Pelodiscus sinensis: one gene and its partners. The protein of the gene in region 1 purifies or fractionates together with the protein of each later gene. This does not show direct contact. Links are inferred from orthologs where the notes say so. Each region holds a gene or a part of one and is shown in the gene's direction. Other genes may lie near its edges.

What was found.
Region 2: the proteins of SF3A2 (region 1) and ZC3H18 purify together in Homo sapiens (affinity purification with mass spectrometry; 3 studies listed by BioGRID and IntAct, with this or other methods). This does not show direct contact. The link is inferred for Pelodiscus sinensis from reciprocal best matches to the Homo sapiens genes SF3A2 and ZC3H18.
Region 3: the proteins of SF3A2 (region 1) and SNRPB2 purify together in Homo sapiens (affinity purification with mass spectrometry; 6 studies listed by BioGRID and IntAct, with this or other methods). This does not show direct contact. The link is inferred for Pelodiscus sinensis from reciprocal best matches to the Homo sapiens genes SF3A2 and SNRPB2.
Region 4: the proteins of SF3A2 (region 1) and RBM17 purify together in Homo sapiens (affinity purification with mass spectrometry; 4 studies listed by BioGRID and IntAct, counting the BioPlex papers as one, with this or other methods). This does not show direct contact. The link is inferred for Pelodiscus sinensis from reciprocal best matches to the Homo sapiens genes SF3A2 and RBM17.

Annotation. Positions count from the first base shown.
Region 1 is NC_134729.1:27,235,358-27,243,109, reverse strand, and holds the start of SF3A2 (splicing factor 3A subunit 2), read left to right. Parts: upstream 1-4,603; 5' UTR 4,604-4,760; intron 4,761-7,752. Other genes in the region: PLEKHJ1 (pleckstrin homology domain-containing family J member 1), read right to left, coding at 427-493, 2,491-2,558, 4,419-4,512. UniProt on the Homo sapiens protein: Component of the 17S U2 SnRNP complex of the spliceosome, a large ribonucleoprotein complex that removes introns from transcribed pre-mRNAs.
Region 2 is NC_134722.1:3,918,745-3,926,817, reverse strand, and holds the start of ZC3H18 (zinc finger CCCH domain-containing protein 18), read left to right. Parts: upstream 1-4,857; 5' UTR 4,858-4,986; intron 4,987-5,339; exon of another isoform or gene 5,340-5,456; intron 5,457-8,073.
Region 3 is NC_134713.1:180,790,866-180,798,643, forward strand, and holds the start of SNRPB2 (U2 small nuclear ribonucleoprotein B''), read left to right. Parts: upstream 1-4,586; 5' UTR 4,587-4,729; intron 4,730-4,964; exon of another isoform or gene 4,965-5,390; intron 5,391-5,484; 5' UTR 5,485-5,508; coding exon 5,509-5,572; intron 5,573-7,778. UniProt on the Homo sapiens protein: Involved in pre-mRNA splicing as component of the spliceosome. Associated with sn-RNP U2, where it contributes to the binding of stem loop IV of U2 snRNA.
Region 4 is NC_134711.1:8,475,076-8,483,261, forward strand, and holds the start of RBM17 (splicing factor 45), read left to right. Parts: upstream 1-5,149; 5' UTR 5,150-5,236; coding exon 5,237-5,355; exon of another isoform or gene 5,356-5,421; intron 5,422-8,186. UniProt on the Homo sapiens protein: Splice factor that binds to the single-stranded 3'AG at the exon/intron border and promotes its utilization in the second catalytic step. Involved in the regulation of alternative splicing and the utilization of cryptic splice sites.

The DNA of each region.
Region 1 (7,752 bases):
GAAAACCCTACAAAGGGGAGCCAAGAGGCAGAAAACACAGTTTTGTCCAGAGCACCAGAGCTAGCACCTTGACACCACCAAAATATGGTCCAGGACCTTCCCGTGCTGGGGGGCTGGTTTTCATACCTACATGACGAGACCAACCCTTCAGCAGCACAATCATTACGCCAGGAGGCGTCAATGATGCAGCACAGGGAGGGAAGAGGGTGGCTATTGATTTTGTAGCATCACTTCTTACAACACCCAAGAATTTTTCTTATGCGTCTCCCTTTTCCCATACTGCCCCGCCCCACGTGAGACAGGACACTCCACACAGTATGGTGCAGGATCTGACTCTAGAAACATTCCCCTTGCCCTTCTGCTACTTGACTGAAAAGGGAAACCGAGAGGAGGATACACCCATGAGAATCTTCTCCCACAACTCACTGATCGAAAAGACATTCTCCTCTTCTTTGGTGACTCTGCAGTGCTCCAACAGCAAAGCTCCAATTGGCTAGAAAGAAACCCACAGAGAAGGGTTAAGACACCCCTCCCCTTGTTCAGCCAGTTCTACACATGTGAGACATTGTGGCGGGAAAGGGAACACGGGGACTGACGTGGGGGCCGCAGTGAGTGACTCGTGAAAGAGAGAGACAACAGTGCCAAGAGGCTAGAGCAGAAACGACATTCCCTAAGCTATTTGAGTTCTTGTGCACTATCTTGCTAGTCACAGCTCTTTCACTGGTTCCCATGTATTGTTTGCTACAGTGGGTCTTTCACGGCAGCTCAAGAAGACAAAAATATTTTTAATGATAGGAAGATCCTGATAAGCCACAAACTACCAGGGGACGGACTTTAGGGCAGACGTCATAACCTGGCGAGAACTGAGAGGGTTGAAAACAGAGCGGTTTTTAGGTAGCCAATTTCTTTGTCTCTGCTGTCATACTTCACTGTACAAATATTTTGTGTTGATTAGTATTTACACAGTGCTTTGGACATCTGTATTTGCTCAGTACAACTCTGGAGAGTTAATAAATAGCTCAGTGATCTGCACAAAAAGAGGCAAAGGTGGTAAAAGTTCTCTAGAATCTAGTCTGCACATCAAGTTTGGCTGGAAGGCACAGCACAAACAGAAATCCAAACTTAGGTCTGGAAAAGAACATGCTTGAAGCTTTGCAGAAGTCTAATGAAATCTGTCCCTGCATTCGGTTTTTTTAAAACAGTTCATTTTAAACAAACAAATTTCACCTGCAGAATTTGCGAGTCATTTATGGGTGCACTGAGCTAAGGCATGAAAACCAGAGAAAGGGTTCTTTTCTTTGTCCGAAATGAACTGCAAGAGACAAACAAATAGAATAGAGACCACAGACTTTTTTTAAGAACAACTCAGTGTTAAGAGGTGTTATTTGACTAAGTATCCCGTCAGCACATACTATTCTAAGCTTCCAAACTATTTTTGGACCACTTACTGCTAAACACAAAGGGAAATATTTTATAGTCTCTAACTGCCAGGAAAATTAGCCAAAACAGCCAAACTCGTGTAAGCAGGAGTGGAGAGAAATCTGCTACTGGGAATGGTCTCTAGTCTCATGCGGTCAAAGCTCTAACATGATTTCATAATCACCCCAAAGAGACTGTGAAGTGTGGCATCTTCTTGGCCAGATCCTATGATCATGACTGTCAGAGGAGACAAGGAGGAGAGAAGAAATATTCTGCAAAGGGAGTGCAAGGATCCTTAGGGTCACATGTATTTCTGATCACTACAAACACCACCGAAAGCACCTTCTCTTCAAGTCTGTTAAATGGCGTAGCCACAGCAGTACCATGCCATGCTCATCCTGCATCTTCTGTCCAATCACAGTGCAAGTGAGTTTTATTGTTAAGGATGAGAAACAAAGGCCAAGACAGATCAAAAGTCTTTTCTGGAACCAGTGGGCTCCAGCTCGCATTCCTCTGCTACAACAACCAGACAATACGCTTGCATACTTATAGGTCCAAGTAAGGAATATTGATAAAATACAGCGATTACAATGCTTTGGGGGTTTTTTTTTACACTGCCAGATCTTGCTCAAAAGCAATGATACAGTTATTATTTACTGAGATTTAGCTAGGGCCTTAGTCTAAATTTAAAATCAATCTCACTAGTTTCACATAAATGAATTGCAGCCATGCGTGTAAGTGTGGCAATGATTAGGTTTCAGAGATCACCCCTAGACTGATAGCCAGGGCTGGGCAGGACAGCAGTTGCTTCTCAGCGTCGCCAAGCAGAGGCTTCATTGTGTTCCTCAAACACCACTAGCTAAACAGTGCAGTGTGACTACTTCACCGGTAAGTGTTTCAGGGCATGGACCATCTACGATTCTGTGATAGTACAGAGCTTAGCACAACGGCAGTCTGCTCTTGGTTGGTTTTTAGGCCCTTTGGTATAGAACCTGCCTTATTAATATGTTTTTCTACAACAGCTCTAACAAGTTCATAAAGCCAGTTTGCAGAAGCAAGTTATTTTTATACCTCTCCTTCATCTATGCGGAAGTAGAAGAGAAAGTTGACAACTAGCTTCACTAGGCGTTTCTTCAGCACTGCAAAGAAGAGAGACAGCATTCAGAAGCGGAGGTCTGTGGCAGTGTTCCCTGTTAGCTGAGTGCTTTGGAGTGATTCATACTCCGCCCAGCTGCTTAGCAGAGCATCCAGAGCTGTCAGCTTGGCTCTATCTACACTGGCGCGTTCTTATGCAAAAACTCTTCCAGAAGAGAGCGTCTACACTGGCATGTGCTTTTGCACAAGAGCATCCATGCCAGTGTAGATGCTCTCTTCCGCACGAAAGCTCTGAGAGCCATTTTAACTATAGGGCTTTCTTGCCCAGGAAATTCATGTTGCCTGTCTACACTGGCCTCTTCTGGAAGAGCTCTTGCGCAAGAGGGCTTATTCCTGAGCAGGAGCGTCAGAGTTCTGGCGCAAGCAGCCCTGATTTTATACATTAGAACATCAGTTTATTTGCGTAAGAACACGTGACCACTGTAGATAGGCAGCAAGTTTTTACGCAAGATCGTGCCTGTGTAGCCACAGCCCTTGTGTCTCGGCCTGGTAGTGCACATTGGTACATGCTTTGCTGCATACAAAATTTATTTTGCTTAAGGATAGAAAATATTAGAGGGAACATTCAGCTGTAGGATGGAAAACTGGACCTGTCGCACAAAGGAAGGTGCAGGCACCTTTCATTCTTACTGGTTCATAGCACTATGATTCTAGGCTGAACAGCAATTTGATGACCTCTCAAGCAACTCAATTCTATCCTAGGTGTGCCAGCCTTGGCTAAGCTTTCACTGATGACCTATAAAACTTTAACCACACATGCTTCTTGTAGCACCTCCTGGCTGGTACGATCCCAATGCAAATTCACAGGTATCCACATCCCTGAATATGGCTGCCGCTATCCATGTCTTGTTTTTGTGGATAGAAAGCTGCTTCAAACCCTGCAAGGTGGCAGCTCTCTGCGGCCGCAGCTGTGGTTGCAGATCTCCCACCATCTTTTTGCCAATACAGATACCAATTTTATATCTGCGTAGGGGTCTACCAGTGCATTGTACATGCCATCCCCCACCACAGGAAGGCAGCCACTTTGCGGACAAAGGGTGGTAGCTCAGTGCCATACACCACCTCACCAGCGCTGGGGAGGAGAATGCAGGAGTGGAGCTACCGCCTCTTTGAGAAAGTGCCAACGTGGTCCCTGCTCATCCCACAGGGAAGGGGACAGGGCAGGGAGCTCAACAGAGGCAGGACAAAGAGCCAGATTGAAGTTGGGGGGGGGGGGGGAATGGGGAAGGTGTGGGAGTAGCTGGCTCCTGAGTGGAAGAAGCTGAGCCTCATGCCCCACAATAGAACCCTCCCCCGGCCCTCCTGAGTGCCTGTACACCCCACCCCCACTCTATCCCCATACACCCTGCCCCACCCTAGCTCCTCCCACATATGCCCCGCCCCTGCCCCACCCCCACTCTATCCCCATACACCCTGCCCCACCCTAGCTCCTCCCACATATGCCCCACCCTAGCTCCTCCCACATATGCCCCGCCCCTGCCCCACCCTAGCTCCTCCCACATATGCCCCGCCCCTGCCCCACCCCCTCTCTATCCCCATACGCCCCGCCCCCGATCCACCCTAGCTCCTCCCACATATGCCCCGCCCCTCCCCCACCCCCACTCTATCCCCATACGCCCCGCCCCCGACCCACCCTAGCTCCTCCCACATATGCCCCGCCCCTCCCCCACCCCATACACCCGACCCACCCCGGCCCCATTCTATCCCCATACATCCTGCCCCCCCCACACGCTCCGACCCCTCCCCTCTCCAGTCCCACAAATACGCCCCGCCCCCTCCCCTCACACACCCCGCCTCCAGCCCCGCCCCCTGCCCTCATACGCCCCGCCCCCGCCGCCCCTCACCGCTGCCCTTCTTGGGCACGCGCATGAGAATCTCCGCCGCCTTCTCGGCCGGCTGCCGGGCCAGGGCCAGCAGCTCGCGCTCGTTGTAGCGCATGGCGAGGCCCCGCCCCCGCGCGCCCCTACAGCCGCCGCATCCCGCCGCGCGCGAGCCGCCAACCGCCGCTCCCCGCCCCCAACGCGGAAGCGCCCGGCCCGGAAGCCTTTCGTCGCGCGTGACCCTCCCATCCGGCGAACCGGAAATGCTTGGCCGCGCGGAAGCCGGAAGCGCCTCCTCCGCCCTGAGAGAGAGTTGCGCGTGCGCAGTCGCGGGCCGGCCTGAGGGGAGCCGCGAGCGCTGGTGAGGTGCGTGGCCGGGGGTGCCTTAGGCCTTGCTGGGTCGGAGTGGGGCTCCAGGCCTTGCTGGGCCGGAGGGGGGGTTGGAGTGGGGAGGAGGGCTCCAGGCCTTGCTGGGCCGGGGGCAGTTGGACTGGGGGGGGGGGCTCCAGGCCTTGCTGGGCCGGGGGGGGGGGGGGGGCTCCAGGCCTTGCTGGGCTCAGGTGGCGGGGTCAGGGGGGCTCTGAGGTTTCTTGCGGGGCGGGGATTATTCTGAGGGGCCGACGAGCCTGCAGTGCTGTGACAGCAGAGCCCAGTCCTGTGTTGGGGCTTAAGGACAGTAGAGTGTTAGTGCAAAGCTTGTTCCCTCATTGAACTGGAGAGGTGCCTGGGGTTTGGCAGAGTTTGGTTGTTCCGCAAGCAGGGCTCCGCAGGTGTCTGTTTTGGGACCGATTCTGTTACATGCCTTCGTCAACGATTTAGATATTGGCATAGCCAGGACGCTTATTATGTTTGCAGATGATACCAAGCTGGGAGGGGTTTCAGCTGCTTTGGAGGACAGGGTCATAACTGAAAATGATCTGGACGAACTAGAGAAATGGTCTGAGGAAAACGGGATGAAGTTGAATTAGGACAAATGCAAAGTGCTCCATTAGGAAGGAACAATCAGTTTCATACATGCAGAATGGGAAGCAACTGTTTAAGGATTAGTACTGCAGAAAGGAATCTAAGGGTCATAGTGGACAACAAGTTAAACATGAGTCAAAGTGTGACACTTGCAAAAAAAAACAAAAACAAACAAACATGAACAGGAGTGTTGAGAGCAAGACACAAGAATCATTCTTCCACTCTACTCTGCGCTGATTAGGCCTCAACTGGAGTATTGTGTCCAGTTCTGGGCACCGCATTTCAAGAAAGATGTGGAGAAATTGGAGAAGGTCCGGAGAAGAGCAAGAAAAATGATTAAAGGTCTAGAACATACAAGCTACGAGGGAAGATTGAAAGAATTAGGCTTGTTTAGTTTGGAAAAGGGAAGACTGAGAGGGGACATGATAGCAGTTTTCAGGTATCTAAAAGGGTGTTACAAGGAGGAGGAAGAAAAATTGTTCTCCTTGGCCTCTGAGGATAGGACAAGAAGCAATGGGCTTAAACTGCAGCAAGGGCGGTTTAGGTTGGACATAAGGAAAAACTTTCTACCTGTCAGGCTGGTTAAACACTGGAATAAATTGCCTGGGGAGGTTGTGGAATCTCCATCTCTGAAGATATTTAAGAGCAGGTTAGACAAACACCTGTTAGGGATGATCTAGATAGTGATTGGTCCTGCACTGAGGGCAGGAGACTGGACTTGATGAAGTCTTTTGAAGTCTCTTCCAGTTCTAGGATTCTATATGAGGTCACGTTAGCGTCTGACTTTCAGAGAGAATCAGCATCCCTTCCCCACGCCCACAGCAGCCTCTGCCCCCAGTCCAGCCTCTGTCTTGAAAATGCCACTCAGGACTTGTGACTGTTCTCCGAAGCATGAGGTAGCACCTGATGCAGCTTCCAGACATGGCTTCCGGGAACAGATCTGAGCATCCCACGTAGAGGCAGTGCCATGTTTTGAAAATCCTAGATAGCTCTGTGCTTTTAACATGTCTGTGGCCACTTACACAGCTCGAAAATAAGCATCTTCATTGGTGCAATGTGAACAGTAAACTGCTATTAGTTATGACTGTTACGTTATAGTGCAGTTGTTCCCTGAGGCCCCTCTCACAACCAGTGCTTTGGCCCTTCAAGCAGCACCTCTGTACAGACACTTCTGAAGACGTGGTTTCTGCCCAACTTGCTTATAGTTGATGTCCGGTATTTTTCTGTTTATTATGATTATTAATTAATTCTTATATCATTTGTTGTTTTTTGTATAAAATATTTTACGAGGCAGTTCAAGATACAGAACTTACAGCAAATAATTGGTGACTTGTATTGGGTAAATGAAAGGTTAACCAGTAAGCATCACTGGGGTGAAGTGTAGCATCTTACTTTTTCCAGGTGGATCACCCGTCTGCAGCGGACCCAGGGAGTGCCACAGGCAAGGGCTGTGTTAGCCCAGCCAGAGAAGCCCCTGCCTGCATTGGGGTGCTGTTCCAGCCCGCTGCACTCCCTTTATGTGCTTATCCAGTTAAACATAATGTTTAACTGGTTAACCAATTAAATGGGATTTTACATCCCTAATTTATAATTGAATTTCAAATGGCGTTACCTGTCCAACTTCTACAACATAGATCTGGACCATAGACGTGCCCACTAATTGACTGTTAACTTTCAAATATTGTTACCTCAATTGTGAGTGTATTAAATATCCCAGGCAAAAATGCATAATCTTGTAATAGAGAAAAATATGTGAAAGTAGCCAGGAAAATGAAATCACCTGTGAAACTGCCAAAGGCCGTGGTCAAACCATTGTGTTCGGTACGGTAGTGCTGTTTCTGTGAAAGTGCTGAATGTGATCCTGTATCCCTGCCTCTGCATAGTAACCAGTGTGCTTCTTGTGAGACTCGGTCTATTGCCATGAGAGATAGGATGCTGGCTACAGAAGAAATTAGGGCACAAAACTTGGGGGGTGGGTCAGGTGAGAGATGCCCAGTTAGCATATATTTGGAAATTTGGTAGCAGGAGAATTGATTACTACCTTATTCAAAATCTGCTCTGGAATCTATACTTTGAAGATGACAGAAGAGAAAGTGACTCTGTTGAATTTCAACACTTAACTGCTTCCATTAGGCCATCTCTACAATCAGTTTGCTAATGAGTGACATAGAGCAACCTTTAAATCAGCAAAAACTACGAGGACTCCTGTGGTACCTTAAAGATGCCTCATGGTTTTTGCTAAACAGACTAACATGGCTACCCTTCTGAAACTTGAAAACAGTGGCTCTCAACCTTCCAGACTATTGTATCTCTTTCAGGAATCTGATTTATCCTGCAAACCCCCACCTTCACTTCACTTAAAGTTACTTATAAAATCAAATATAAAAAATGCAAA
Region 2 (8,073 bases), on another chromosome or scaffold:
GCACCTGGCTTGGTCAGGACATTAATGATGAATGGAGGGTGATTTGTCTACTCAGGAATTTGTAAAATCCTTGTTTGCATGATGTGCCCGATGGGAAAGCTGGCCCACCATTATACAACTGCGGCTGAAACCATCTCGGCTTTGAGATCAATAACAGTGAAGCTCTGTCTTCCGGAAAGAGGTTGCCTTTTCAACTTTCCCAGAACTATCGTGACAGGGGCAGAGTAAGGGGGATCTGGATTCCTTGCTTAATAATTGCATTGAACTTTCACTCCGCATTTCTCTTGGTCTCTTTTTGTTTTAACATCCTTGAAAGTCAATATACAGTATACATTACTGAACGTCGGAATGCACCCAGACTTCTACTCTGGACCTCTGAGATCAGACACCCATTCTGTGTGCCCCTGGCACCTGTGGATGTGCTGTTTAAGCATTGGGTTCCAGTGCTATATTTACTCCTATGCATTTGAGCTTCACTTTGTCTTGCAGTTCAGTGGATGGTGAGGGGAACAGGGTGGAACGGCATGGCAGTGTGTTGTGCAGCACTGAGCAATCTGGCCAGAGGACAAGATGCAGGGTACAGTCATGTGGGCTGTGTGTGGTGTGTCCCTCTGTGCATGAATAAATAGATCACACACACCCTGCCTTCCCCTCCCAGCACACACCCAAAAAGTCTGGCACCCCATAACATGCATCCATACACATCTAAACATACAACCTTCCCCTATATACATACATACACACACAGGGTATGTCTACACTACAAAGTTAATTCGAACTAACAGATGTTAGTTCGAATTAACTTTGATAGGCGCTACACTAGCGCTCCGCTAGTTTGAACTTAATTGGAACTAGTGGAGCACTTAGTTCGAACTAGGTAAACCTCATTCTACGAGGACTAAGCCTAGTTCGAACTTACTAGTTTGAATTAAGGGCTGTGTAGACCCTTAATTCGAACTAGTGGGAGGCTAGCCCTCCCCAGCTTTCCCTGGTGGCCACTGTGGCCAACACCAGGGAAACTCGTATGCCCCCCTCCCGGCCCCGGACCCATTAAAGGGGCACGGGCTGGCTACGGTGCCCGTGCCAGGTGCAAGCCTGCCAGCACCAAGCCAGCAGACCCTGCACCTGGCACGGCTCGAGCCAGCCACCCGATGCCCCCCAGCCCTCCCCCTCTTCCCGGGACCAGGCTGGCGGCTCCCGGGAGCTTGCCCGGGACCGCAAGTGGCGGGCACCCGCCTGGTCTAGTGCGGACATCATGGACCTCGTCCACGACCTCCGCACTAGGCACAGAAAAGTGCCCGTCTAGGGCAGGAGAGCTGCCAGCCTGGCCACCCAGTAGCAGGTTTGCATGAAAATCAAGGTTGTCCACTGAGACCCCCGACCCTGAGCCCTGAGCTTACAATGGCCGTACTGGGTCAGACCAAAGGTCCATCTAGCCCACTAGCCTGTCTGCCGACAACGGCCAACCCTAGGGACCCTGGAGGGGATGGACCAAAGACAGTGACCAAGCCATTTGTCTCGTGCCATCCCTCTCCAGCCTTCCACAAACAGAGGCCAGGGACAGCACTCCTACCCCCTGGCTAATACCACTCCATGGACCCAACCTCCATGACTTGATCTCACTTCTCTTTAAACTCTGTTCTAGTTCTAGCCTTCACAGCCTCCTGCAGCAAGGAGTTCCACAGGTTGACTCTTTGCTTTGTGAAGAACAACTTTCTGTTACTAGTTTGAAGCCTGCTACCCATTCCTTTCCTTTGGTGTCCTCTAGTCCTTCTATTATGGGAACTAATGAAGAACTTTTCTTGATGCACCCTCTCCACCCCACTCATGCTTTTAGAGACCTCTATCCTATCCCCCCTCAGTCTCCTCTTTTCTAAACTGAAAAGTCCTAGTCTTTTTAGCCTCTCTTCATATGGGACCTGTTCCAAATCTCTGATCATTTTAGTTGCCCTCCCCTTTCCCACCCTCTCTCTTCCCCTCTCCCACCTCCTTTTCCCAGTCTCCCCGAGTTTTGTTCAATAAAGAGAGATTCTATTTTTGACCACACGTTTTCTTTATTTTGTACATCAGGAAGGGGGGCTAGGGAAGGGTAAGTGGAAAGAGGTGAGGGAGGAATGGGGTACGAGCCCCCAATGGGGAGGACTGGGCTGGCTCTGCGGGCTTCTGGGGGTGGAACCTCTCCCCAGAAGTGCAGCCGGTATGATGGCCGAGTGCTGTGATGTGCCCAGTGTGGGTACTCCGGGCACTCCAAGCCAGGACTGCTTTGCAAGCAGGGCACCCCTGAGAACTGTCTGTCCAGGGTAGGGGTCAGGTCCCTTTAAGCACAGCCCTCGGCTAGCCTGAGGCAGCAGCTCCACGCTCTAAGTCCTCATCTGATGCCCTGCCGGCACTGCTTCCAGCCATCCTTAACCCCGGTTCAGGGTCCACTTAATGTGGACATGCTAGTTCGAATTAGCAAAACGCTAATTCAAACTAGTTTTTTAGTCTGGATCCGTTAGTTCGAATTAGTGCTGTAGTGTAGACATACCCACAGAGACATACAACCTACAATTTGATTAGCTTCTAAGATGAGGTAACTGGCTCTGTGGATATGGAAAGGTCAGTGGATGTGATATACCTTGACTTTAGCAAAGCTTTTGATACGGCCTCCCACAATATTCTTGCCAGTAAATTAAGGGATTATGGATTGGATAAATGGACTGTAAAATGGATAGAAAGCTGGTTAGACTGTCGGGCTCAATGGGTAGTGATCAACGGCTCGATGTCAGGTTGGCAGTTGGTTTCTAGCGGCGTGCCCCAACGATCTGTTCTAGGACTGGTTTTGTTCAACATCTTTATTAATGATCTGGATGAGGGGATGGATTGCACCCTCAGCAAGTTTGCAGATGACACTAAGCTAGGGGGAGAGGTAGATATGCTGAAGGGTAGGGATAGGGTCCAAAGTGACCTAGACAGATTAGAGGATTAGGCCAAAAAAAAAAAATCTGATGAGGTTCAACAAGGACAAGTGTAGAGTCCTGCATTTGGGACGGAAGAATCCCAAGCCTTGTTACAGGCTGAGGACCGACTGGCTAAGTAGCAGTTCAGCCGAAAAGGACCTGGGGTTACAGTGGATGAGAAGCTGGATATGAGTCAACAGGGGGCCCTTGTAGCCAAGAGGGCTAATGGCATATTGGGGTGCATTAGGAGGAGCATTGCCAGCAGATCCAGAGAAGTGATTATTCCCCTTTATTCAGCTCTGGTGAGGCCACATCTGGAGTATTTCGTCCTGTTCTGGACCCCCAACTATAGAAAGGATGTGGACACATTGGAGAGGGTTCAGCAGAGGGCAACCAAAATGATGAGGGGGCTGGAGCACATGACCTACGAGGGGAGACTGAGGGACTTGGGTTTGTTTAGTCTGCAGAAGCGAAGCGTGAGGGGGGATTTGAGAGCAGCCTGCAACTACCCGAAGGGAGGTTCCAAAGAGGATGGAGAGAGGCTGTTCTCAGTGGGGGCAGAACGAGGAGCAATGGGCTCAAGTTGCAATGGGGGAGTCTAGGTTGGAGATTAGAAGAAACTCTTTCCCTAGGCGGGTGGGGAAGCGCTGGGATGGGTTCCCTAGGGCGGGGGCAGAGTCTCCATCTCTAGAGGTGTTTCAGTCCAGGCTTAGCGGAGCCCTGGCTGGGCTGATGGAGTTGGGGTTGGTCCTGCCTTGGGCAGGGGACTGGACTCCAGAGGGCTCTGCCCGCCCTGGGACTCTATCACACACACACACACACACACACACACACACACACACACACACACACCCCTTTCACACACACACACACACACCCCTTTCACACAGACACACACACACACACACACACACCCCTTTCACACACACACACACACACACCCCTCTTTCACACCCACCCCTTTCTCACACACACACACTCTCTCTCTCTCTCACACACACACACACCCCTTTCACACACACACACACCCCTTTCACACACACACACACACACCCACCCCTTTCACACACACACACACACACCCACCCCTTTCACACACACCCACCCCTTTCTCACACACACACACTCTCTCTCTCTCACACACACACACACACCCCTTTCACACACACACACACCCCTTTCACACAGACACACACACACACACCCCTTTCACACAGACACACACACACACACACACACCTTTCACACACACACACACACACCTTTCACACACACACACACACACACACACACCTTTCACACACACACACACACCCCTCTTTCACACCCACCCCTTTCTCACACACACACACTCTCTCTCTCTCTCTCACACACACCCCTTTCACACACACACACACACACCCCTTTCACACACACACACACACACCCCTTTCTCTCTCTCTTTCACACACACACACACACCCCTTTCACACACACACACACCCCTTTCACACACACACACACACACACACACCCCTTTCACACACACACACACCCCTTTCACACACACACACACACACACCCCTTTCACACAGACACACACACACACCCCTTTCTCACACACACACACCCCTTTCACACACACACACACACACACCCCTTTCACACAGACACACACACACACCCCTTTCTCACACACACACCCCTCTTTCACACCCACCCCTTTCTCACACACACACACTCTCTCTCTCACACACACACACACCTTTCACACACACACACACACCCCTTTCTCTCTCTCTTTCACACACACACAGACAGACACACCCCTGCTACCCCCCCCCGCGCGACACGCAGCCGCGGCCCCTTTAAGGCCGGCCGGGCGGGCGGGGGCGCCCCGCCGCGAGAGGCTGTCGCGTACCGATGATGTCACACAATGGCCGCCCCGCGCCGCCGCCGCGCGTAGAGGCCCCGTCCCGCGCCGCGAGCCGGAGCCGCCTCCCCCACCCGCCTCGGAGGCGCCGCCGCCCCCTCCCCCGCCCCGCGCGAGCCGCCCGCCCCCGCCCAGGTGAGCAGCCGGCGGGCGGGGGGGGGCTCCAGGGAGGGGCTGGGCCCTTGGCGCGGGGCGGGCCCCACATGGGGGCCCCGCTGGGGGGAGGGGTGTGGCTCGGGGGGGCCCTTCCCCCGGGGGTGGAGCAGCACCGGGTGGGATGCGGCCCCTCCCCGGGGGGGCTGGAGGGGGACGCCCTCTGGGGTGAACGTGCTGGAGCCCCCCCCCCCCCGAAGCGAGGGGAGCAGACTGGCCTGCCCCTGGCTGGGGCTGTTGTGGGCTGAGCCCGGGGGGGGGGGGTCTGCGCTGCCTGCCCCCGGTAGATCCATGGGGGATCATGGGCTATTTAAACTGCACAGCTCGTGCGGGTTCTGATAGGTGCAGGGAGCGAGGGGGGGGAGACCTTTCAGGACAGTCCGGGGAACACGCTTGGAAACGCAGGTGCCGCGCTCTGGGCTTTTAATGGATAATGTTCTGCATCCGAACCGGTGCGTGCTTGGTTTTTTTGTCACTGCTATTGAAATTGCATATGGGGATTTGTTATAGGATGGGTTTTGCATATTAGGAACATGTGTGTTGTATTTCTGAACTCAGAAATTAGATGCGCTAACCCTTTTGCTTAGAAAAGTAGTCTTTGCAATACATCCACACCCTGCTAGGTTGTTTCATAAGAACTGCCAGACTGGGTCATACCTAAGGTCCAGCTAACCCAGTATCTTGTCTTCTGCCAGTGGCCAATGCCTGGTGCTCCAGAGGAAATGAACAGAACAGGTAATCATCAAGTGAATGCAGTCACATATACCAAGACCTAGAGTGTGAATTCTTTCTCCTGATTCTCATGGGGTTTGTCTGGAGTAAGGAAGAGATCTTAACCTCTTCCAATCATAAACTCTTACTACCTATCTTGTTCAATTTATTTTAACAGAATTTAACTCTAAAATCTAATTATTAATGTGAATGTGCTTCATAAGCTTAATGAATTCATTTATTCTCTGTAGCTAACCTGATGTCCAATAGTTCAAAATGGGAATTCCACAGGTTCAGTACTAGAAAAGCTTTCCATGGCCCAAGAATAGGTAGAAGTAGACTAGAAGAGACCTCGAACAATTCTTTCAGCAGCCAGGAAGCTAGCTCTCCCATAACCTCCGAGCTCCAGTGGGGAGGGATGTCTTCTAACTGTTTCTTGCTCAACTTCCATTTTATGAGGAAGGTTCCTGCTCTCTTGAGTTTTCCTCTGCTGCTCAGAGCTTTCTGACATCTCCAGTATCAAATTGACCTATCTCACTGATTGCTCATGAAATTCCAGCTTTGAGATTGCCAATACCCTGGGCAGTTTCTGCTTTGCTGTAGTTTGGACAGCTCTTTGCAGTTGCAGAGATACTAGAGCTGAGGAAGACATTACTTTAAGGGCTTACACTTTGTTCATATTGGAAAGGTTTTCTTTTCAGTCATAATGGTTAAGCACCCTCCCTCCCCCTCCCCCTTTTTTTTTATAATGAAAGGTTGGGTTCTGTGGAAATTATTTACATTTGCCCAAGAAAGCTTTTCTGTTAGTCCTGGGAGACTGTATTTTTCAAACCTTTGTTTAAATAGATATTTGTGTATCTAGGACACAACTATTTTCAGCATGGTTACAGAAAGCATTCTGATGGCAGCAAGTTGCTGTTTTCAGCACCAGGTCAGTGGACTTGCTGCAAACAGATTGTTTTCTGCAATTGGTCAGTTTCTTGTTGCAGACAGAGCTTAACTTTCTGTAGATTTAATTGAATGTACTACTTAAACACTTGTACCTGTTAACTAGTTTCTGTGAAATACTCGTCAAATAGTGGGATTTTCCTTCTGTAGAAAGAGTTCTAGAGACAGATTTGGATTAACACCCTATTTTAAGACAGCTTGTCCAAAGAAGAAACACAAATCTCTGTCTTTAAAACATCTTTGTTATAACTGGATTCTGCCCTTCGAGTCATGTGCACAGCTCCTGTTGATTCCACTAGGATTTGCCTAGAGTAAGAGAGGACTGAATTTAGCCCTATTTCCTGTAAAAAGTATTGTCAAGGCCCCTGAGCCCAGAATGCTAACTCACTTTAAATTCCAGTGCTTTTATTTTCACTCTAGACTCTTTCTCTTAATTTGCTGTTAACTCCATACAATGATGTCAATAGTGTTAGTCGGAATCCAACCTTTGTGTTGGGTGTATCTGTCAAGATGTCCTGCAGTAACTGAAGAGCATGAGTAGCAACCTTAGGGCAGACTGTTTAAAAAAGCAGGGCACAAACCACAGATTGCATGAGAGTCCTATACTTAGTTTTCCTCAACCATTTATTAAGTATAAGCTTCTCACGCATCATAACAGCCTACTTGTGAAGTCACAGACAGTACTCTGATCTAACTCTCTATCCAGGTAAGCTTCCCATTGTGAATAGTCCCTTGCATTAAAAATCAAAACAAAATGTAGTATTGTATGCAGGTCCCAAGATATTAGAGGTAAGGTCGGTGTGATAATATCTTTTATTGGACTCAACTTCTGTTGATCAAAGACAAGCTGACCTCTGAAGCTCGACAGCTTGTCTGTCTGACCAACTGAAGCTGATCCAGTAAAAGTTATTACCCGTACCCCTTTGACAGTGTTACTTTAACAGGCGGCAGAAGTTGAGCGTGGTCTTTAGCACAGGACCAGAAGTTTAGATTTCCTGAGTTCTAATCTAGGCTCTGTTGCCTTGTGGAAGTTGGAGAGATTACCGGGTTAAAAATCATTTTTTAAAAAGAACATCCTTATGTTAGCAACAGTACTTTACTTTAATAAAGTGGGGGGAAATGTAAAATCTCTTCACTAGTTAAGCTGTTTTTTCTTATGGCATTGGTTTCCATTTCTAACTACTTTCATTGTGGAATTTCTCATGTCTAGCTCCAGTGCTATGTTTAACATTCAAAAGTGCAGCACAATATTTTTGGGATTTTTTTGTAAACATTTCTATTTGTTATGTTAAAGTAAACCTAAGTGGGATAAATGTGAACTGACTGCCTTTTTCACCTCTCCTCAGTAAGCAGATCCATTTTACTTACTATAAAAATTAGTATCACTTAAATGTCTTGCAGTGAGGATTA
Region 3 (7,778 bases), on another chromosome or scaffold:
ATTTGGACGCCTGGGACAGAGCAGCTGGGGTGCTGCCGGGTAGGTCCCCGCAGCGCCGCACCTCAGCGCTGCGGGGACCAACCCAGCAGGACCCCAGCTGCTCTACCCCAGGTGTCCCCAAGTCAGCCGCTGCTGATACTGATCAGCGGCTGATTCCAGGAAGCCGGGGCAGAGCAACTCTGCCTCTGGCTTCCTGTAGTCAGCCGCTGGTCAGTTTCAGCAGCGGCTGACTTGGGGACGCCTGGGGCAGAGCAGCTGGGGTGCTGCCGGTTTGGTCCAGTAGCGCCGAGGAGCGGCGCTGCGGGACCAACCTGGCAGCACCCCAGCTGCTCTACCCTAGGCGTCGTCGGCAAGAAAAGCCTGGTCTTGCAGGGGGAGGTGCACTAGCTGCGCCCCCCCCAGCAGACCAGGGAGACGCGGGTAGCGGGACCGCCGAGACGCACCGCGGTCCCGCCCGCATCCTCCGCGGCTTTGCTCCGCGTCTCCCTGGTCTGCTGTGGGGGGGCTCCCTGTTTAACTATATACAACATGAGTGTGTCGAACAAAAAAGTCCAAAAGCAAGATAAATATATGATGCAATGTGTAATCCAGAATTTAAAGCCTACCTGCTATTTTTGAAATATGTTTTGGATTACATGAACAAATTCAATGCTCTCTTTCAAAGCAAATCTCCACTCATTCATTGCATTAAACCAGAGTCAGTGAAACTTTTCAAAGTACAGGCAGTCCCCGACTTATGTCGGATCCGACTTATGTCGGATCCACAGTTACGAACGGGGCTTTTCTCACCCCGGAGGACGGGAGCGGCGGGACGCCCAGATGCGCCGCGGTCCCGCCGCTCGCGTCCTCCGGGGCGAGAAAAGCTGCTCCGCGTCTCCCTGGTGTGCTGGTTTAGTGCAATGAATGAGTGGAGATTTGCTTTGAAAGAGAGCATTGAATTTGTTCATGTAATCCAAAACATATTTCAAAAATAGCAGGTAGGCTTTAAATTCTGGATTACACATTGCATCATAAATTTCTCTTGCTTTTGGACTTTTTTGATCGACACACTCAAGTTGTATACAGGCAGTCCCCGGGTTACGTACAAGATAGGGACTGTAGGTTTGTTCTTAAGCTAAATCTGTATGTAAGTCGGAACTGGAGTCCAGATTCAGCCGCTGCTGAAACTGACCGCCAGTTCTGACTGACATACAGATTCAACTTAAGAACCCCAAGTCAGTTGCTGCTGAAACTGATCAGCCGCTGATTCCAGGAAGCCCAGGGCAGAGCAACTGTGCCTCGGGCTTCCTGTAGTCAGCGCTGGTCAGTTTCAGCAGCGGCTGACTTGGGGACGCCTGGGGCAGAGCAGCTTGGGTGCTGCTGGGTTGCTCCAGTAGCGCCGCTCCTTGGCGCTACTGGACCAACCCAGCAGCACCCCAGCTGCTCTGCCCCAGGCGTCCTGATTCAGCCGCTGCTGAAACTGACCAGCAGCGGCTGAATCAGGACGCCTCGGGCAGAGCAGCTGGGGTGCTGCCGGGTTGGTCCAGTAGTGCCCAGAGCGACGCTGCGGGACCAACCGGCAGCGCCCCAGCTGCTCTGGCCCCAGGGTCCACAACAAAAGCCTGGTCTGCTGGGGGGGGGCACACTAGCTGCGCCCCCCCCCCCCCCCAGCAGACCAGGGACACGGGGAGCAAAGCCGCAGCGGCGGGGTTCCTCGCCTCTGAGGCTTTGCTCTGGCGCGGGACCCGCCGCTGCTGCGGCTTTGCTACCGGTGCCCCTGGTCTGTTGGAGACGGTCCCCAGCAGACCAGGGGCACCAGGAGCAGCTTTTCTTGCCCTGGAGGTCGAGGTGGCGGACCACTGCCTGCGAGCTCCGGGGCGAGAAAGCCCCGTTCGTAAGTGCGGATCCGACATAAGTCGGATCCGCGTAAGTCGGAGACTGCCTGTATAGTTAAACAGGGCATCCCACAACACTAATATTCTATATACACAAGAGTGTACAGCTAACCACCTTGTATAACTTGGTTTTAACATAGATAAACATACCTTTCATTATTAAGAACATACCTAGAAACAGCTCTACTATGTCAGACCAAAACTCCATTAGCACAGTATCCTGTCTTCTGATAGTGGCCAATACCAGGTGCCCCCAAAGGAAATGAAAAGAACAGATGATCATCAAGTGATCCCTCTCTCATTTCCCATTCCTAGCTTCTGGCAAAGACTAGGGAGCTATTGATGGACCTATCCTCCATTATTTTATCTAGGTCTTTTTTGAACCCTGTTATAATCTTTTCACAACATCCTCTGGCAAGGAGTTTCATAGGTTGGCTGTGCATTATGTAAAGAAGTATTCCCTTTTGTTTTAAAGCTGCTATTATTTTAATTTGGTAACCCTTAGTTCTTCTGCAAATAGTTGTTTAATTCCCTTTTTCCATACTAGTCGGCTACGTCTACACTGGCCCCTTTTCCGGAAGGGGCATGTAAATTTCACCAGTCGTCATAGGGAAATCCGCGGGGGATTTAAATATCCCCCGCGGCATTTAAATAAAAATGTCCGCCGCTTTTTTCCGGCTTTTAAAAAAGCCGGAAAAGAGCGTCTACACTGGCCCCGATCCTCCGGAAAAGGGCACTTTTTCCGGAGGATCGGGGCCAGTCTAGACGCTCTTTTCCGGCTTTTTTAAAAGCCGGAAAAAAGCGGCGGACATTTTTATTTAAATGCCGCGGGGGATATTTAAATCCCCCGCGGATTTCCCTACGACGACTCGTGAAATTTACATGCCCCTTCCGGAAGAGGGGCCAGTGTAGACGTAGCCGTCATGTTTTTATAGACCTCTATCATATCCCCCCCGTCATCTTTTTTTCCAAGCTGAAAAGTCAGTCTAATTAATCTCTCCTTGTATAGAAGATGTTACATACCCCTAATAATTTTTTTGCCCTTTTCTGAACTTTTTCCAATGCCAAGATACCTTTTGGGAGATGAGGTGACCATCTCTGCCTGCAGTATTCAAGATGTGGGTGTACCATGAATATGTATAGCAGCAATAAAATACTGTCTTATTCTCTATCCCTTTCTTAATGATTCCTAACATTTTGGTTGCTTTTTTGACTGCTTTTTTCACTGGGTGGATGTTTTCAGAAACTTAATAACCTTATTAACAAAGATTCATAGCAAAGCAACCCATAACAGTATCACCATCCCACAAAGATTTCACATCTCTCCCCAGGTGAGGTTTCCACCCCAATCAGCTCCTGGTTCCTGAAGAACAAAGAACAAGCGGCCCCTGCACATGTGGAAAAGGAGGCTACATGGCCAGACCAGGGATCCCATGCGATAGAGGCAGTCCCTCAGGGAGAGGGAGGCACTGTGCAGTGGTGGGGCACTGGGTGGCTGATAGAAAGTAAGTGACCATGCAGGCACTGAGCATGAGCAAGTGCCTGTCCTGTCTGGGAGCCATGCTGGGCTCAGGGACTACCCAGAAACAAGAGCGCCCATGCAGGAGGGGATGTGCATGCCGCTGCCCCTTTAAGCGCAATTAGTGAGAGCTGCTGCCTGGGCGAGAGGAAGGGGTGTTGGCTCCAAGAGGGGTGAATTTATGAGGTGCCAACCCATGGGTGGGCAGTGACAGAAACCACATGCCACTAGAAGCTGGCCCCAGCCAGCAAAGCTCCAGTGCAGCCGCCTATGCGCTCTGCGCGGGGGGAGATAGGGAGGAGGCTGCTGCTGCGGCGGCGTTGCACAAGGAGCAGTGACAGTGCATGGACTCGGTCAATTCTTTCCGCAAGCTGGTATCCCCATCAAGTAGTGAAATATCCAGCAGGGCTTTTTGGGACATTTCACTACTTGATGGGGACACAGAGACAGAGTATTTAAAATCAGGACAGTGTCAGAAAATCCGGGACGTATGATCAGTGTATACATCCAGCACTCCCACTAAAACACCACAGCATGGTATCAGCATTTTTCAAAGCATTACAGGAACTTGCTCTTGTTCACCCAGGCCCTTTCCTGACTGTTCTTCCACACCTGGTTGCTGTTTGTGTCCAAATGGGATTCTCTACAGGCCCCTATGCAGGAATTTCTGTGGGGGTGTATGCTTTGTTTGTAAATGTGGGCCACAAGGGTGTGGATATGCCCCCGTGTTTCCCAAGTAAGCGGGGAAATCAGCTCCAGCCTTCCCTTGGCTAGCCAGAGCATGGGGCAGCAACCCGCTGCTGCCTTCCTCTGGCCAGCCAGAGCATGCTTCTATGGGGTACCTGCTTTTTGCACCCTTCGCACCCTCCCCCCCCCGCATAGGGGCCTGCTCTAGGGCACTGCCCCACCAACTGGCGTGACAGCGCTGGCTCAGAGCCTTTGGGAAGAAGGGCAGGGGATGGCCGAGGCACAACAGCATCTGGGCAAGGACCAGAAACACGAAAATCACCCGGGGAAGAGCCTGGGCCGGCAGGAGGCCTCCTGTTGGCCCTGACGGAAGCGGTTCGGACGTGCTGCACCTAAGCCCGGCCCACAACTCTATGCAGTGAGTGAGACACGTGGGGCAACACGGGGACCGCTCGGCCTTCCACTCCCGACCTGGTAAGGCGGCGGCGCAGGCGTGCTAGAGGAAGGAACGCGCGAGGGAGAAGAGCTCATCGATGATTGGGCGCGCGATATATCGATTGTGCGAGAGATCGACTCTTGTCGTCTGCGTGTTCGGATGAGGTCACGCCAGCGCGCGGCTTGGTGCGGCGCTGAGACCGGTGGGAGCAGGGTGAGGGACTGGCCGCTGCGGCCCCGGGGCACCCAGCAGCGCTAAGCCCGCTGGGGGGCGGGGGAGCTCGCCTGGGTTCGCTTGGGGCTGGCCCCTAATGCCCATGGGCTGCGGGGGGGGGCCGTTGCAGCGGTGGGGGCGCTGGGTGGCTGAAGGAGGCCGCTGTTGGGGAGGGTGTCGGGGGCTGCGGTTGGCTTTGTGGGGGGGGGGGGGAGGGTGATGTGAGGGCCTCGCTGTTTACACGACGAGTTTGAACACGACGGAGCGTTATTGCTGAGGGGCAGTCCAGGGATTACGGGACATCTCTTGTCCACACGCAGCTTGGTGCTTTCTCGGCGGCTCCTCCCTCCCAGGAGATGGCCCTTTGTGGGCACATGGCCGTGTGTGGCTTTAGAGGGGTAGCAGCCCTGTTAGTCGGTAACGCTGAAAACAGCGAGTAGTCCCTCGCTCCCAAATATATATGGTATCCTGAGCTTTCATGGGCAAAACCCGCTTCGTGCCCACGGAAGCTCTTGATGCTATACGTATTTTTATTAGTCTTTAAGGGCTACTTGTTTTTCATATATGGTTTTAAAACCCCCATGTGATAGAAAGGGCTTCCTTTTTGCTGTGGAGCGAGGCAGTTCTGATACCATTTTATATAGCCTGATGTTGGCAACAGGTATTTGATCTAAACTAACAAAAACTCAATCTGTTATTAAGAATTCATCCTCATAAATGGAAAGTATTTTAATAGATTGTGCTTGTTTTTCTAGGCTGTTGTGTAAGCAAGTTAGAAGATGGATATCAGACCAAACCATACTGTTTACATCAATAATATCAATGACAAAATTAAAAAAGAAGGTATGGTTAAATTAAAGTTTGTATTTTTTTATCAGCATGTTGTGAAAACTCAGTAAAAGTATGGTATTCTGTCTTCAAGAGATATAGTCTAGACCAGCGTTTTCCAAAGTGTGGTCCACGGCCCAGTACCAGTCCTTAGGAAAAATTATTGCACACAATCTTATTAATTTGTGTGACGGGTAGCAGCACTCTGCACTGCCGAGTGAGGCGGCGTGGCCCTCTTGGGAGAGACCCACCGCCGTGGTATCTGCTGGGCATGCTCCCGGGCGGTGGGGCTAGATCTGACAGGTGCTAGGACCCAGGGAGAAAGCCGGGCACACCGATGCGGAATGCCAGACGCAGCCGGGGAAGCCGGCACCGGCCAATGAAGCAGCTGAGATTGGGGCCGGAGGGGGCGGAACAATCTGCCGGGTACACCGAGTCAGAATACCCGGCACCGGATGCAGCTGAGGGAGCCGGTGCCAGTCGATTAAAGTGGCTGTGATTGGGGCCGGAGCGGTGGAACAACCTACCGGACAGGTAGGGCCAGTGACACAATTTATTTGCATATTCATCATTTGCTTAATGAATATGCAAATATGTTACCAGTCCTCCAAAAGCTTGTGAATGGGTTTACTGGTCCCCAGTAGCAAAAAGATTGGGAACCACTGGTCTAGACATAAAACGTAGGCGTGTTTGTGGTATGGCTAGCCCAATGGAATCCCAATTACAGATGTTAGCCTATAGATGTGTAAACGATTAAGTCTAGGTTTATCAGTTCATCCAAATGACTACATGCAGCACCCCCTCCCTGCATCCAATCAAAGTGCTACTATGATTCAGTCAGGTACACCTCACAAATTATAACTAAGAACAGTTAAAAAAACTACCCTATCCAGAGAGATCATCTTAGTGGGCCACAAGATTGTTGTAACTGACATGGAGGACCACTCATGCAGCCCATTTGCTAGACTAGATGCCCATTGGTGACCTAACCACTATCTGCTCTTAGCATCAACTAGTCTTGTTTGGGCCTGCTGTTGCTCAGCTTTCTGAACTCAGAAGCTTCTGGTAGTACAAGCACTAACTTCCAGTGCCGCTGCAATCCTCTCCCTCGCCTCTATCAAGGCCTTGGTCCCACTGTACATGAGGATTGGTGGCCACCATATCCAAGTCCTTGGAATATTACCACAAATTAGACACTGCAGGGAAGTCAGGAGGACTGCAGGCCAAATCTAGACTGCCAGATGCTTTTGAACAGACCCATATATCCTATTGGGTATTTTTTTAATGTCTGGAATCTGAACCTCAGCTATATCTTGACCAAGAAATTTGGACCTTGACAAAAAATAATTTCCTGCCTCAGTCTAGCCTCTTAACCACTGCATACTCACAAAATTACAGAGCCTGCTGTACCTCAGGGAACAGAATTATACACCAGCTTGTAAAATTCAACAGAGCACCATTATCATGTTTAACTCCACAGCCTTAGATCAGTTGTACTGGTGACCCCTATCATAGAGCAAGCTTCTGTGTGTGCACCTCCCTCCTTATAAATTAAAAATACTTTTAAAAATATTTAATACTATTCTAAATGCTGGAGGCATAACTGGGTTTGGGAGTGGAGATTGAGAGGTCACGACTACCAGTTTGAGATCTCTTGCCCTGGATATAATGAAAACAAGAATAAATATCAGAGAACAAATTTGAGTAATAGTAAACATATTGGAAATGGTTACTTATAAAACAAAATCATGATTTTTTTTCTAGAGATTAAGCTAAGAGTTATTCTTATCTAAAGAAACTGATGTTATCCAGGATTCTCCAGCATTTTTAGCTAAGCATACTTGACACCTGTATTTCATAGAACAAGAATGTTGTTCGTTTTCGTGCTCAGTGAAGGATGCATTGGTGTCTTTTCTGCCCCAACAATAAAGCATCCCTTTGTGTTTCTCTTCCTTTTAGTTTTTCTGAAATTTCTCACTTTCCTTCATTTGTATTCAGTAGTATTGTGGCCATCTCTGTCCCAGGAAAAACGAGGGGAGTGAATGACTGCAGAAGCACAGTCAGGAAAGTTTAACTGAAATTCTTTCCCAATGGACTATATTATTACTGAGGATCAGTCTGCATTCTGATATATTTGCTTTCCACCACCAACTCTTTGTATAACTTTTCATGAGTAGAGTACCTGAATAATTGGTTGCTAATATCTAAACCAGAGGTGGGC
Region 4 (8,186 bases), on another chromosome or scaffold:
ACAGGTACACAGTTAACCGGTCACCCACTAACCACCAACCTTCATGGTAACCGGGAGCTCCAGCCCCACTGTGCCCCGCCCCTGGCTGCTGTTTCCAACCCCATGTGGGCTGGGTGTTGGCAGTCACGTGTGGGACTGGTAGTAACCAGGCTGGAGCAACCCGTGGCTGCACCACAAGGTGGTGTCATGCTTGAAATAAAAGGCATTATCAGTCACTCCGAGCACAAACTGCAAAGAAACAGGGAAGCAAAATACACAGATGAACAACGAGCCAGCCACAGGGTGAAGCAAGCTTCAAAACAAGACCGATCTGTGACATTGGCAATAAATGGACAAAACATGAATGTGACCCCCTCCCTGATGTTTGGCTTAAGCTTCCTTCCTTCCTTTTCTCTCCCAGGTGCTTGTTGTTGCCAGCATTTGGAGCAGCTTCTCCTCTCTCCTTGAGTGGGTCACGTCTTGGGTCTTTTCTTGGCACTTGTCGCCTCAACTCAGGGTGACTCCTCACTGTGTCAGGTACAAAGGGGTGCTGTCCCTTGAGGGATGTTAAATTTCGATTAATTGGCTAATCGAATAGTCGATGGAATTTCCATTGACTACTTGATTAGTCAATAAGGGGGGCACTTGCTATCCTGCTGCACCTCTGCCTTTGAAATGTACAAGAGCCACTGCAGGCTCTTGTACATTTCAAAGGATGAGGCGCAGCAGTCGGGACCCCAGGTGAGTGGAGACTGCTTCAGGCCCTGCTCACACCATTTCCACCACTGCGCCTCTGCCTCCCCGCCCTCCCCCCCTCCATCCCCGCAGAGACGGTGCTGGGGGGAACCAGCTTGTAAGTCTATAAATTCGTAACTGGTAGGGAAAAAGTGAATAAGGCAAAGTTATTTACTTGTACCCACAATATAAGAATTAGGGGTCACCATATGACATTAATAAGTAGCAGGTTTAAAACAAACAAAAGGAAGTTTTTCTTCACTCAGCGCACGGTTGGCCTGTGGAACTCCTTGCCAGAGGAGGTTGTGAAGACCAGGACTTTAACAGGGTCCAAGAAAGAACTAGATAAATTCATGGAGGTTAGGTCCATCAATGGATATTAGCCAGGATGGATAGGAATGGTGTCCCTAGCCTCTGTCAGAGGCTGGGAATGGTTACAGGAGAGGGATTACTTGAAGATTCCCTGTTCTGTTCACTCCCTCTGGGGCATCAGGCATTGGCCAGTTTCGGCAGACAGGATACTGAGCTAGATGGACCTTTGGTCTGACTCAGTATGGCCGGTCTTATGTTCTTATGTAATACCCCAATGTAATTTGATACTGTTTCATATAACACATACCTGAGACATGCTCCAGTGCTCATCTGAGTTACTGGGAAGTTTCCAGTTGAGTTCAGTGGGTTTTGGATTAGGCCCAAAATAAGACCACGTGGCAAAGTTACAGAACCATGTCGGAGTAAGGCCAAAACCTACTCTATATAGTTTGAAATAGTGTAACAGGTGTTCCTATGTGTGCTTGTGTTGAAAAATAGATTGAAGAACTTACTAGATGCTGTTTAAAAGAAAACCTGCTGATAGCACAAACAAGGATGGGTTCATGTATTCTATATTGTGAAGACAGGGGTAGATTAACCAGTGGAATAATGGGGCCTGTGCCCAGTTGCCTTGGTCAGTTGGAGGACCCCTGGAAAAATGGGCACCCACCCACCCACCTGGCGTTCCTGCTGGGGAACAGGGTTGAGGTACAGGGGCTTCCAAGTACAGGTGGAAGACGCCCCCACTTGTTCTGATCCATGACCCCACAATCCACCCCTGTACAAAGATATTCTGGGCATAGTTTCTCTCCCTCAGTACTCAAAGAATTCTTCTCAAATGAGTTTGAAGAAGCTACGACATTTAGTATGTCTTCATTTTTCAAGCATCCCTAAGATGAGTTGGGGGATATTATATTACAATAAAATATTATTTTAAAAAACCCAAGAGAAAACAAGGAACAGAATTTATTTTGTTTTTATTCATTCCAGTGACTTAAAAATATGGTTTTGTTCCCTTTTCAAAGACTGAAGCTATTTTCCTCTCATTAGCTGGCCTGAGAAGTCAAAGCTGGAGGCAGGGGCAGATGACTGTTTTGCGGGGCCCCGGGCAGCATAATTCCGCGGGGCCCCCCCTTTGCCACAGCGCATGCGCGGGGCTTTCTGAAGCGCGGGGCCTGGGGCGGCTGCCCCGTTCGCCCTGCCCTATATCCATCCCTGGCTGGAGGCAGACATTGTACATCTTTTTTGGACACCTTTTTCATCCCAGGGAGTTTTTGAGATAATATTGTGCAAGGTATATTTGTGATCCCAATGAGTTTTGCACCACGCATTTATTAAACTGGGTGGAAGCTTGTAACGAATCCACCTTTAGCAAGCACCACCACACCAGTGCAAGACAAATCACACATACCAGTTCAGCTGAACAAGGCTCAAGGTCTTCTCCAAAAACACAGACCTGTCTATTCAAGGACATCTCCCCTTGCTAGCTGTAAAAGTAAGGCCCTTGTCCTTCCTGTGGGCCAGCCACTAACAGATGACATAACACCCATGTGCTTTACATGCACAAAAAGCTTGATTCCCCCCACACTGCTGGTGCAGAATATTGCACAAGGTGAAAAAGGAAGAGTAGGATAAGGAGCACAGGGAATCACTTCTGTATCATTGTGTTGCTGCTGAGATCACCAAGCTACTCCTGCCTCCCAGATCTGCAAACTGAAACCCAGGGCATCTGCCATGGGGCGTAACTAAGGGTGTAGTTTGGTCAGTCTCAAGGAAGTCTGCATCAGAGGGTGAAATGCAGTTTTTCCTTCACAGCACGGCAGCCTCCTCCTGCCCCGCCACTTTTGCTAGTATTCCAATGGATTAGCTATGTGTGTGGGAGAGGGATGGCTCTAGGAATTGATTGCAGAGCACTGGGGGCTTGGAAATGGAGACAGCAGCAAGATTCCCACACATGAGAATCCTAGTGGAAGGGCCCCAGAGTTGCTAGCTTAGCTGCTCAGTGGCTCTTTTAGGTAGCCAGTTTGCCAGTGGGTAGATACAAAAATCAGGATCAAACAACCAACAGGGCCTGGAAAAAAAGGGATGTTTGCAGTACAGGCGACTCTCATATTTACAACCTAATTGGTTCCTGGCGAACCATCGTAAGTTGAGCTGTTGTAAGTCGAACCCTTATTTCCCAGAGGCACAATGATATAAATGGGGGGGGGGGTCCGTTCCTGGCCCGCTTTGCCTCCTGGGAGTTGTAGTCCCCAGCACGCCAGGCCCAGAGACAGCCAGGGGTTGTGCCAAGTGGAGGTGGCTCCACGTGTCCCAGAGCCAGTGCCAAGGACTATGTTGGGTGGAGGCAGCACGGTGCGAGCTGCTCCTAGAGCCAGCTGGGGGCTATGCTGTGTGGAGACAGCACTGTGCAAGCTTGCAAGCTGCTCCCAGAGCTGTCCGGGTGGAGGCGGCTTCACGTGTCCTGGAGCCAGTGGCGTGGTGTGAGTTGTGCCCAGTGCCCGTCAGGGCTGTGGGCAACTGGCTGACTCTGTGGCTCACTGTGCAGGAGCAGGGCTGGAGCAGGGCAGTCGTCTATGCGAGGTGTCCTGAGTCGGGAGGTCGTACATTAGGGGTCACCTGTATTGTCCATTTCAAGGGATCAAAAATCATGGTCTGTCCAGGGCTCAGCAGCACTTCCCCAGGCCCCCACTCAAGCTACATCTACACTGCAACGCTATTTTGGGATAGCGGAGTATCCCAAAATAGCTATTCCGCATCTTCACAGAAAGCCTGGTATGTTCATAGGCTCACTATTCTGACGTTCCTATAAACCTCTTTCTACCAGGAGTAAGGGACGTTTCGGAATCATGCTGTATTCTGAAATAGCATGGAAATAAGATATGCATTTTGCGTAGCTCAAATTGCGTATCTTATTTTGAGTTACGGTGCCATGTAGATACAACCTCACCGCCCTAAGCCTGGGCAGCACTTCCCTGACACTCCTTGTCTTCTGCTGCCCTGGAGGAGCTTCTTGTGTCACTGTGAAAGCAGGTTCCAGGATTTTTGAACCAGTCATATCCTAGGACCTGGAGTCACGCTGGCAAGGCCTGTATGACAATGGGTGAGGCACAGTCCTGGGCTACGCGTAAACTGGCATGATTTTCCGCAAATGCTTTTAACGGAAAAGTTTTCCATTAAAAGCATTTGCGGAAAAGCGCGTCTAGATTGCAACGGACACTTTTCCAAAAAAGCACTTTTTGCGGAAAAGCGTCCGTGCCAATCTAGACGCACTTTTCTGCAAAAAAGCCCCGATCGCCATTTTCACGATGAGGGCTTTTTTGCGCAAAACAAATCTGAGCTGTCTACACTGCCCTTTTGCGCAAAAGCTTTGTGCAAAAGCACTTTTGCCCGAACGGGAGCAGCATAGTATTTTTGCAAGAAGCACTGATTTCAGACAGTAGGAAGTCAGTGTTCTTGCGGAAATTCAAGTGGCCAGTGTAGACAGCTTTTTGCGGAAAAACTTGCCAGTCTAGACACAGCCCTGGGTTACGTCTTCATTGGCACCCTTTTCCGGAAAAGGGATGCTAATGAGACACTCCGGAATTGCAAATTCTGCAGGGATTTAAATATCCCCCGTGGCATTTGCATGAACATGGCTGCTGCTTTTTTCCAGCTCGGGGTTTTGCCGGAGAAAAGCACCAGTCTAGACGCGATAGTGTGGAAAATAAACCCTTTTCCAGAAGATCCCTTATTCCTACTTGAAAGGATGCCAACGTAGACAGCCCTGGTGTTTAATATGTTGAAGGTTTGGGAAGCCTCTTTGTAATTAAACTCCTAGTCACAACTGTACTGTTAATTACTCTGAGCCTATGGTTCCTCTTCTCTCTCCCGCTCATAGATCTTCTCCTGCAGGAACATGATTAGAGAGACAAACTGGGGGACTTAATATCTTTATTGGGACCAACTTCTGGGGGTTTCCCTTCTGCAGGGCAAGCTCAGGGAGCTGACGCTAGGGGTCAGCAGCGGGCCGGTGCCTGTGGCGGCGCTCTCTATGGTCTTGCTACGTCATTGGTGGAACACCGCCCCTGACGTACGACGCTTGCGCAGGACAGCGCTTCGGGTCGCTCCTCCCCGTTTCCCGCGCTGCTTCTGCGGAGCTCTCGCGGCGCTGCGTAGCCGGCAGCTTTCACGTTACGGAGTTTGCGTAGCTCCCCCCTCCCCTCCCCCAATGACCTGTGGTGCGGCGTTTACGCAGTTTGCGTACAAGGTTCGCGCAGCGGAGGAGTTCGGCGGCGCCGGGCGCCACACGGCCGTTCCCTGCCTCTTCAGCGGCGGCTCGCTGGCGGGGTGAGCGGGGCCCGGCGCCCACCGCGGACCAAGCGCCAGGCCGCGGCCGGAGGCCCCAAGCCGGGGGTGGGGGCAGGGCCTGAACTTGACTGGCGGGAACCCTGGGGGCTGGGCCAGCTCGTGGGGGGAGGGGAGCGGAGGTGGGGGGGCAGCCGGGGGGGAGGGGAAGCAGCTCTCGGGGGGGGAGCTGGGGGGGAGCGGAGGTGGGGGGGCAGCCGGGGGGGAGGGGAAGCAGCTCTCGGGGGGGAGCCGGGGGGGGGAGCGGAGTTGGGGGGGCAGCCGGGGGGGAGGGGAAGCAGCTCTCGGGGGGGGGAGCTGGGGGGGAGTGGAGGTGGGGGGGCAGCCGGGGGGGAGGGGAAGCAGCTCTCGGGGGGGAGCCGGGGGGGGGGAGCGGAGTTGGGGGGGCAGCCAGGGGGGAGGGGAAGCAGCTTTCGGGGGGAGCAGCTCGCAGGGGGAGGGGAGCCGGGGGGGAGCGGAGATGGGGGGGCAGCCGGGGGGGAGGGGAAGCAGCTCTCGGGGGGGGGGAGCCGGGGGGGAGCAATGGGGAGGCTGGGCCAGCTCGTGGAGGGGGGGGTTCATGGGGGACTGGGCCAGTTTGGGGGGGGGGGGTTATAGGGTGGCAGGGCCAACTTGTGTGCTGCTGGGGGTAGGATGGGAGGTTCATGGGGGCAGGGCCAGTTTAGGGGCTGCTGGGGATGTGGTGCGAGGCTCATGGGGTCGGGACCATCCTCAGGGCTGCTTGGGATTGATGGCGGGTGAGGGGGGATGACATGGGATACTTCGGGGTTATGGGGTAGTTTAGGAGGGTTGTGGGGTGGCTCCACTCGTGGGTTGTTGGGTAAATGAGGAGGGTTATGGGGGACTGGGCTTTTGATTGTGGGGAGGCACTGGGCCCTGGCAGCTGGGGGATGGGTAGGCTACTTATGAAGCTTAGAAGGGATCCGGGGATGTCAGGCTTGAAGGGCTGCTCTGCCAGCCACTTCCAGGGCCAGGCCTGTTCTGGGGATACTGGGGATGGCTGGATCTATTCAGGTGGGGTGCTTGGCTGCTGTTCTGGCAGTGACAGCTTGTGGTCCAGGGCTGCAGGAGTGGAACTGAATGCCATTGTCACTGTGGATTCAAGCCACAGACTAGGGCAGTGGCACCCAATCTTTTCGAGGACCCAGACCACTTTTCAATCTATTAAAAATTTACGGACCCCTCCCCCCCCCCCAAACAATATATCTGTGCCTGCATGTCCTTCAGCCCATGCTCCTTCCTGAGTGGCGTCCCTGAGCCCACTGGGGAAGCTGTGTGGGTTGTAGGACGTACTGTCTGTGAGGAGTTCCATGCAGACCCCTTACAGTATCGCTGTGAACCCCCCGGGGTCTGCAGACCACAGGTTGGGAACCACTGGGTTAGGGTATTGATTCAGCTCTGTATAATTCATGCACCTTAATGCAAAGCCTTCAGTGACCAAGGCCTTGTGAGCTTTGTTCAGATACTAGTGCCTGTGTCCCTCATCAGAACTGGAATTTGTCACTCTTGCTGTCCCACCACTCGTGTTCTCACTACTGGTGTTACGTGTTGCAGAGCCCGTAGGCAAGGGTCATCGCTGGTTCTGTTTACACATGGACTAATGATCCTGATGGTGGCTTTTGGGGGCTACTGCAGTATAATCAACAATGAGGGGTTCCAGTGGCATCTTAAAGCCTAACGTCTATTTGGGTATAAGCTTTTGTGGGCAAGGGCATATAGGAAGTTATTTATGCCCAAATAAACTGTTAGTCTTTAAGGTGCCACAGGCCTCATTTTGTTTTTGCAGATATAGGCTAATAGCTACCCTTCTGATACTTGCAGTACAATGAGTAACACTAGCCTCAGTGGACAAAACTTCCTTCTATTTTTATGTAGTATTCCCTACTAGGGATGTTAAGGACTAGTTGACTGTCCAATAAGCAAATGCTTTTTGGATAGTTAGTCAACTCATTGATTTCCCCCTCTTCCTGCCTCTATCAGATAGCTGAGGCGGCGTTCAAAGGGGCAGTGCTGCATAGCTGAGCCCAGGATCGGCTGTGCGCTGTATTGTGTGAAGCCTGGGATCAGCTGGGGACTCCCCAGCTGATCCCGGGTTCTCAGGAAATGCTGTGTGGAACCTGCAGTCAGCTAGGGAGTCCCCAGCTGCATGGCATTTCAAATTGGTAGTACAGCATGGAGCCCGGGGTCAGACTCCAGGCTCCATGCTGCACTGCCAATTTGAAAGGCACAAGAGCCCCCCACTGGGGACTCTTGTACATTTCAAAGCTGGCATAGCCTGGAGTCAGCGTGACTTCCCGCTGTCTCCAGGCTGCATGAGGATTTCCGCATTCCTCCTTTGAAATGTAGAAGAGCCCCAGCGGGGGCTCTTGTACATTTCAGAGGAGGAATGCAGAAGTGCCTATCGACAATTCCATCAACTATTCGACTAGTCAATTAATCGTTACTTAACATCCTTATTCTCTACCCCAGTTGACCTGCCTCTGAAATCAGTTTTGTATGTGTAGTGAAATTTGGTACATCATCTTTGATTTACTGTATAACGTCTAGTTTATATATTTCAAAGGGCTTGCTACTTCTAGTGAGCTGTGTAACAATATCACCATGGCTAAGAGTCCCAGTCTGTTTGATCAGATTGCTAGGAGCAATTGATCAGAATTAACATGAAGCTAAGTATGTTGGGTGATAGTCCTGACTATAAATCAATGAAGTTAATATGTTTTTGCTCACATTCTTACTTTGGAGGAGTGATACTATGATCACAATGGTGGTAAGGCTCATCCATGGCACTGCTAGTGTACTGATCCATGCAGTTT